Linked DNA regions of Coturnix japonica. The protein of the gene in region 2 purifies or fractionates together with the protein of the main gene of each other region. This does not show direct contact. Links are inferred from orthologs where the notes say so. Each region holds a gene or a part of one and is shown on either strand. Other genes may lie near its edges.

The links.
Region 1: the proteins of potassium voltage-gated channel subfamily A member 5-like (region 2) and KCNAB2 purify together in Homo sapiens (co-immunoprecipitation; 3 studies listed by BioGRID and IntAct, counting the BioPlex papers as one, with this or other methods). This does not show direct contact. The link is inferred for Coturnix japonica from reciprocal best matches to the Homo sapiens genes KCNA5 and KCNAB2.

What each region holds. Positions count from the first base shown.
Region 1 is NC_029536.1:551,927-556,280, reverse strand, and holds the start of KCNAB2 (voltage-gated potassium channel subunit beta-2), read left to right. Parts: upstream 1-1,253; 5' UTR 1,254-3,297; coding exon 3,298-3,515; intron 3,516-4,354.
Region 2 is NC_029516.1:67,514,947-67,519,219, reverse strand, and holds the start of potassium voltage-gated channel subfamily A member 5-like, read right to left. Parts: upstream 2,830-4,273; 5' UTR 2,508-2,829; coding exon 609-2,507; 3' UTR 1-608. UniProt on the Homo sapiens protein: Voltage-gated potassium channel that mediates transmembrane potassium transport in excitable membranes. Forms tetrameric potassium-selective channels through which potassium ions pass in accordance with their electrochemical gradient.

The DNA.
Region 1 (4,354 bases), on a different chromosome or scaffold from region 2:
ATTTGAAAGACTAAAATCCCGCCCTTCCCCTCCCGCATTCCTCCCCAACCCCCCCAGTACAATGGCGTGAGGGCTGCAGAGCAGCCACAGGGATTGGAGCGGGTGGGAATAACGCGCAGCCTGCAGGGGGAGCCTCTATGTGATGCCGTAGCGTTGTGTTGGGTTTGGTTGTTTTTTTTCCCTCCCATCAGCAAAATATTGAATTTTGCAGGCCCCGAATTTCTGCGTTGCTTCCTGCTGTGTCGCAAGAGCACGCTCAGGGCAGCAGGGCGGGCAGCAATGCAGGAGCAGCACGGGCAGCGGGCAGCCTCGCTTTGCACCCAGCAGCACAGCAATGGGCCGGGCTGGGCTCAGCATCCCCTGTACCACCCAAGCACACACTCAGCTGCGGTGCTGCTGTCTGCATTGGCTGCAATGTGACACGCTGCCTTCCAGCAAGTGGCAGGAGTTTGGGAGCCCATAATGGGGGTTGGCAGCATGGGGTGGGCTGGGGGGGAACATGGGGAGAGCAGAGCCGTGATGGTGATGGTTGTGGCAGTGGGTCCCACACGGGGTGGCAGAGCTGTGCCATACCCGCACGGCACCGCACACCCATCCGGCCAGCGACAGGAAGCACCGTCACTCTCACCCTCCAACTGTGCTGATTCAACCCAGCTTCCTCTTTTTGCAGGGGCTGAGGCAGCGCGCGGGGCGAGGTTGGCGAGGCTGGCTCCATGTATCCGGAATCCACCACGGACTCCCCGGCACGACTCTCGTTGAGGCAGACGGGCTCCCCCGGCATGATCTACAGGTGAGCAGCCATGTGAGCGGATCCCGGGCAGCCCCTGGGTGCCAGCACCCCATATTTGAAGAGCCGATCCCTGCTGGTACATTGTGCAGCTCGTGGGTTTGGCAGCGACCCGTCCCGGCTTGGCTGCGCGGCGCTGCCCGCTCCCCACTCTGCTAACGCACTTTGTGGCATCTTTCTTCTCTCTCCTCCTTCCTTGCTGTCGGAAGCGCGAGGTATGGGAGCCCCAAGCGCCAGCTCCAGTTCTACAGGTAACCGCGTCCTTTCTTTCTCCCTAAAAACACCTGGGAAGCAGAGAAGGCCCCCAATGGGGCAACCCCTGCTGGTGCCAGGGCCCCATCTGAGGTTCTGCCAGGCCGGGACACCCCACATCCATGTGTGTTGGCTGTGCCATGGGCAGCTGCATGCTGAAGGACCCGGCTGGGGCATGGGAACCACTGGGGGGGTCAGGATGTGGGGCTGGTGCTGTATGGAGAGCAACCCGGGCTGTTAGCAGTTCCCAGGGGGTGCTCCAGGCACCCATCCAGCCCTCTCATCTGCTCCTTGCATTAAGAGAAATGTCATTAACTGATACCTAAGACCACAGATAGCTTTCTTTTTTTTTTACCCAACCTTTTACTGCCTAAAATTAAAAAGGCACTTTTCCCTGGCACAGTGTGCCAGCAGGGCGCTGTGGGCTATGGGGATGGTCCATAGGGGCATGAGGAACAATGCATTGAGTCTGTGTCCCCAAACACAGTGCGTGGATGGGGTGACAGTGGCGAGAAGGGAACTTGGTGCTTGCATTTCGGCTCCCTGGCGCTGCAGGGATGGCTGTGTCCCGTGGATGGACAGCTCAGCCCATGGCACCGCGAGGCGCCGTGCTGCAGCCGCCGGTGAGGGTCGGCTCCGGGCTGAGGAAACGATGCCAGCGTTCATAAAGCAGCTGCACATCCACAGGCTTTTAGTGAAGAAGTCATGAATAATTGAGCTCCTGTTCGCTAGGAAGAAAATAACCTAATAGGGCTAATGGAGCGCCGCTCAAAAACTTGACTCTGGGGGGACTTGTGTTCACCAATTGCTTTGGATGCTCTGCGCCGACACTCCCCTCCACGAAAAAAACCACAGCTGTGCCTCCCTTATAGCTGTCTGAGGGAACCCTAACAGCCAGAGCTTTCCCTTTTAATGAGCAGGAACCCCAGAAGCCGGGTGAGTCCGAGGCACCAGGGCAGCACTCGGGGCTGTGAGCGGGCGCTGCGCTCTCTACTGGGGGCTGCAGTGTAACACTGAGCTGCTTGGCTGGGGAGGGCTTCGTTTGGGCTTCTTATTGCAGTTGTTGTTGCAGGCTGTGACACCCTGGGCGATGGGTTGGGACTGAGGCAGCACTTCACACCTCATTCCCCTGTGCTGCTCTGGGGCCCACTGGGCTGGGGATGTGGGCACAGGGTGATTGCAGCACACAGAGCCCAGAGGGGGTGCTCCCACCGTGGCACATCACTGCCCGGCTGCAGCAGCTTCTCCAGCCCCGGGCTGAGCCGTTGCTTCTCGCTCTTCAGTTTGCAGAAAGTTTGTGCTAATGAGCTGCCCGTGGGTGCGCCCGGTGCTCTCCCTGCTGCATGGCGATGTTGCTCAGCCAAAAATCACAGAGGTGTCAGCTCAGGGCACGCCATTAATTACTGCCTCGCTGCTCCGAGCGGCTCCAATCGTCCCCCTCCGACTCCATCCGCCGCTTTAATTTAATTGCACTGAGATGAAGCCGGAGAAGCAGCGCTTTGCACTCCAACGGCTGCACAGTGAGGGGCAGCTGGTGGGGTTGTGTGTGAGATCCATCAGCTCAGAGAAGGGCTCAGTGCTGGCACTGCAGATCTGAGGGGTGCTGGAGGTTGGGGGGTTTTGCTTTCAGCCCTATGGCCCCACTGCAGAGACATGGGGACACACGGGGAGTGCTGTGCTCAGCTCATCGCCGCAGTGGGTGCTTCGTGGCTTTGGCCTCAGGTGGGGGATCCTCTTTGTGCATTTCCCTGTGCTTTAGGAACACTCTGGGTTCCTTCCCTGCACACGAGGAGCTCCAAAGCATTTTCAAAAAGCATTGTTTATTGCAGGAGCTCCCTGGGGTTTTTGGTAATTCCTTGCAAGCTAAAGCTCTTTCTTTCCCATTCTTGCTTTTTTCTTGAGGTCATACTTGAGTACAAAAGCGCCCTTTGTGCCATAGAACTGCTGTGAGATTGAACTTCACAGGAAAAGGAAAGGATGCCCCATGGCAGTGGGGTGCAGGCAGGCCTCACCCTTATACCTGTGCTGTGTGCACGGTGTGACCTCCTTCCCTTCCCTTGCTCGCTACTGTGCCGCATGTCCCGTTTCTTTGGCACCATGGCTTTCCTGCTTCAGCCGGTCATTGTGCTACCTACAGCCGCGTCCTCCTGCCATCCCCATGCCCTGCACAGCACTGTGGGGTCCGGGGACATCCAAGTGTCCCCACTGCCCGCTGAGCACCGCTGCTCACCCCGCAGCCCCCGCGCTCGGGCAGCAGGATGCTGTCCATGACGTACAGCGAGAGCCTGCGCAGCGTGGCCAGCCGGCACCACGCAGAATGGGGGCTGCAGCCGCCGCGCCGGGCGGATGCTTTGGAGCTGCGGCGGCTGCGGGATGTGCGTGCAGCAGCACAGGCCAAGACTTTGGAGGAGTTCCTGCGGACACACGGGCTCTCGCTGGACGGCTGCACGGCGCACGCCACGGGCATGAGGTACAGGTAAGAGCCGTGGCCATAAGTCCCTTGGCACAGGAGCAGGGTGGCAGTGGGGCAGGGGATGTGGCTGCTCTGTGTGTGTCCAGTGCTGAGCCGTGCTGCCCAGCATGGTGTGTGCAGGAGAGGCCGGAGCACATCAGTGCGTCCTGTTGGCACAGCTCAATGCTCTCACCTTCACTTTAACTCCAGTGTTGGCACAAAGTTGGTGTGTGCCAATGCACAACTGCACTGACCCTGCTGTGAAATGCAGCACCAGAGCACAGGGCAGGGGACAGAGCTGAGCCAGCATCCCATGGAGGGCACAGTGCCTGTGAGTGCAGGGCCAGCAGTGCGCCATTAATGTTGCATGGAGGTGCGGGCAGTGAGCGCTGCGTCGGTGTCTCAGCTTTCATGGTGCTGCTGGGGGAAGGGGGGAAAGCAGCCCCCGTGGAGGGCAGGGCAGCAGGAGCTTCCGCTTCACAATAAGCAGAGGTAACATTTACACCGTGGCAACGGCTCATTCAGTATTCATGCAGTGGTTATTTATTGATGGAGTGTGTGGGCACAGCCCTCGGGCACCCCCCCACCATAGGCCTGGTGCAGGGGTTGGAGGGGCCTGGTGGGGGCTGCTCCCTCAGATCTGCAGCTGTTCCTTTGGGCGAAAGCTGCTGACTGGAGCCTTAATCTGGGCTCAGGCTGCAGGCAGATTAACGCGGGGCTGGGGGGGCTGCAAAAACGCCCGGGGTGGCACCGGGAAGGCAGCGGCGATGCTCTTTGGTGGGGATGCGGCCGTGCTGCTGCAACGGGTGCGGGCTTCCCGGGGTCCACATCACCCATCCCGCAGAGCAGAGCGGCTGGAGGCA
Region 2 (4,273 bases):
ATACTACACAACCAGATCTGTAGTGATCACAAGTGGAAAACTCTAGAAGTGCTGATCTGCCAGTATTCCTAGTGCTTTAATGGAGTGGAATGTCTCAGTAATAGGAAATCCCATTTCATCGATAAATATATTGATGTAGACACAAAATAAATTAGAATATTTTCAGTTTGAAACTGAAAACTCTCATTGTTCTCTCACACTCCAAAACTCACTCATTCTCTGCACATGTCCCCCAGCTCTTTAATAATCTGCAGAAAATGTATTGATTACAAATGACCATTTCAAACCAACCATCATTTGCTAATAAAAGTTTCTAAAAATTAGATTTTGTATTTTCATAATTTACCAGCTCCTGCATCACGGAGAATAGTTTACTGAATCTATTTTAAAAACAGGTGACCATTTGTGTCATGGAAAAAGAACATAAAAACATTTATTCCCGGAGGACTGCTCAGGACAGTGATCAAATTACAAAATATAGTCTGATTTAAAAACCTAACAAACAAACAAACCAAAAAAACAACAAAATTGGTAGGAAAATAATATAGTAGTAAGTTTCTGACACCAGCAAATTCTGCTGCATCTCTAACTACAATTCTCTCCTTTCCTCACAGGTCTGTTTCCCTGCTGCTATCCAGACAGAGGGCATATAGTGATTTTCTGAGATCTACGTTACTTTTAGCTTTGATATTGGTTTTCTTTAAAGGGCTGGCACTGCTTTTGAACTCTTCATTATTTTCCAAGTGCACAACAGATTTGTCCAGAGAGCTTTTACTGCATCTTCTCTTTCCATCTACCCCAGTTACACTGTCCTGAGCACTACTGTGTTCTTCTTTGAGCATAGCTTGCTCTTCATGGTCAGTCTCTCGGTGGTAGAAGTAGTTGAAGTTGGACACAATAACAGGGACAGGCAGGGCAATGGTGAGCACACCAGCAATGGCACACAAGGACCCCACGATCTTGCCCCCCACAGAAACAGGTCGCATGTCCCCATAGCCCACAGTGGTCATGGTCACCACAGCCCACCAGAAAGCATCAGGGATGCTGGAGAAATGAGACTCAGGGTCATCAGCCTCAGCAAAGTAGACAGCGCTGGAGAAGAGGATGACGCCGATGAAGAGGAAGAAGATGAGCAAACCCAGCTCCCGCATGCTGGCCTTGAGGGTCTGCCCCAGGATCTGCAGCCCCTTGGAGTGCCGGGACAGCTTGAAGATCCGGAAGACCCGCACCAAGCGGATGACTCGGAGGATGGCCAAGGACATGGCTTGTTGCTGGCCTCCACTCCCATTGCTGCTGCTACCTCCAGGCTGCTGTTGTTCATTGGCCAATTCTGTGCCCAGCGTGATGAAGTAGGGGATAATGGCCACGATGTCAATGATGTTCATGATGTTGCGGGAGAACTCTGGCTTGCTGGGGCAGGTGAAGAAACGCACAAGGAGCTCAAAGGTGAACCAGATGACACAAGTGGTCTCAATGATGAAGAATGGGTCAGAGAGGCTACTCAGTGACTGCATGGGTGAGGAGTCTCCAGCTGTGGCATTCAAACCTCCACTTTGCGGGGGCAAGAACATGGGTATCTCTCGTTCATCCCTGAATTCAGGCAGAGTCTCCAGGCAGAAGATGATGATGGAGATAAGGATGACCAAGACGGAGACAATGGCGATGGCCCGGGCTGAGCTGGAACTCTCAGGGTACTCAAAGATGAGCCAGACCTGGCGCTGAAACTCGTTGTGGGGAAGGGGCTTGTCCTCTTCTCTGATGAAACCCTCATCCTCCCGGAAGCGCTCCATGGCCTCCTTCCCCAGCTGGTAGAAGCGGATCTCATCAGCAAAGACATCAATGGAGACATTGATAGGCCGGCGGAGCTTGCCCCCAGACTGGTAATAGTACAGGATGCCATCAAAGCTGGGCCGGTTCCTATCAAAGAAGTATTCATTTCTGAGAGGGTCAAAGTATCTGCCTCGCTTTGCTGGATCACCCAACAGTGTGTCAGGAAACTGGTTGAGGGTGCCCAGCTGAGTCTCAAAGTGCAGCCCAGAGATATTGATTAGCACCCTCTGATGATGCATTGCACCCCGGCTCGCTGCCTTCATCTCCTCCTCCTCGCTGCCTGCTGCCATGGCCATGCCCCGGCGGTGACCCCCTTCCTCCGGGGGATCCATTTCCGAAGCCGGCCCGGGGCACGGTGCGTTTGGTTGCGGTTGGGGTCCCGACGCCGCCCGGCCGCTGATGCCGCCCTCGCTGCTGCTGCGGCGCCTCCCGCCGCCTCCTGGAGGGGCAAGCGGGGGCCCCTCCCGCTCCTCTTCGACCTGCGGCGGCGGTGATGCCGGTGGGGTTCCCTCCTTGCCGTCGCTCAGTCTCGGAACAGACGGGGATCCCGCGGTGTGGCGTAGATCGCGCCGTCTCCGAGCCCTGCTGCTACCGCCGGCGTTACCGGCCGTGGCATCCTCGCCGGCCGGGATGGCCCCGCCACCGCCGTTCTCCAGAGTCACCAGCGCGATCTCCATGGGCAGCGGCAGCAGGCGGGCTCCGCTGAGGTGGCGGGCATTCTATGCACGACGCCTCGCTGCCGCCATCCACCTCCGGATGGGTGGGCGGCGGCCCTGCCCTGCCCTGCCCTGCCCTGCCCGCCTATCCCTCAGTGCTCGGCGGCCGAGCGCGGCCTGGGGAAGCCGTTCGGGGACCCGGATATGAACGAGCGATCATTCTGATGATTTGACGTCAGCGAGGATCCCTTCTCCCCAGCGGTGGCGGCGCCAGCTTCCCCCGGCATCGGGCTGCCGCAGCAGCGCCCCGCCCCGCAGGTGGGACCGACAGCATCCGTGCTCCAGCCCAGCCACTCCGTGCCCAAGCGGAGGGAATCACGGTGTTACCCCGAGCGGGTACGCATCCCTTGAGCAGGGGAAGTCTCCGGCTGGAATTGTCTCAAATGAAATCCAGAGCGCCTCTTGGTGCCTGCTGAATCCTCCTGCCTTCACAGCTTAATGAGAACAAAGAAAGGGATGGGATCTGTTTTGCTTTGCTCCCATCCTTTCCCCGCCCTTAACATGTAGTTCCAAAAGGTGCTTCTGAGGCCAGCAGATAGCAAACGTTACACTGGATTACCCGAATGTTAGCATTTATAATTTGGGACCATACTTTGCCTTCAATGATTTCTTAAACCCACATCCAAGGCTGACACACTTCAAAATATATGCATTTTATTAAAGAAAATGAATTGAAGTAGCTTTATATGATGACTTTGGTTACACTTCAGTAATATGATCGATGCTGTGGTCTTATTTCCTGGGTTCAAACTGTGAACTTCAAGGTCTAGAAGACAACATATTCTAAATATATACATAAACAACACAGGATTAAAACCTATACATATACATATATATATATATGCACAACATCAGTTGTAAAAGATGATACTAAATGGAAAAAACATTTTGCCTTCTAGGTGGCATCACTGCAGTGATATTTGAATCCTTGCAGTAGTAATGATATTCATCAAATGTAGAATAACTGGGATTAATGAGTTTTCACTTAATTTAAACCATTACCTCTGTTTATGAAATATGCCTAAAGATATTATAAGCCATGCCAAAACAGAAAACCATAATTATATTGAATGATTATTATAAATGATGATTTGTCTGTGATCTAAAAGTTGCCTCTGAGAGCTAAGCATGGAATCACTGACCTGCTCTGCCATTGAGAACTTACTCACACAAGTAATTCCTAGAAACAAAATTACAGTATATTTTCTAGAGCTGCTCTGAGATCCTGATGAGGAAAATGCACATTGCTAACTGACACAGTTGGAAAGCACAGCTATGTTCTCTGGGCACCTTCTTTGCAGCTCCAACATTTCTGAGAACTTAGGATGTTATCTGTGTATGTGGGTACAAGGGAAGAGGGGAGGAAAGGGTGGGAAGAAAAATCTATTCCAAAAGCAAATTTTAAAGGGCAATTCTTATTTAGCATTCCAAATTTTCTGAGTATTGTGAAATGAGAAGAGCAGACCATCTAGTAGGAAGCAAAGATATTGGAGAGAAAGTATGACATGCAGACATAACAAGTGAGATGTATGACTCATGTTTTAACCTGATGCTCTCTAATAAAGAATATATTTCTCCTTATACCTGTGAGTTAGCAAAAAACATTTTTTACCCTGAGTACATGCACATGTGCTGTCAGTTTCATACACTCCAGCACATCCATACCCAAACCTACCATTCTCTCTAGCTCCTACTGCCACTTATTTCTTGTAATCTAGTCATCACGC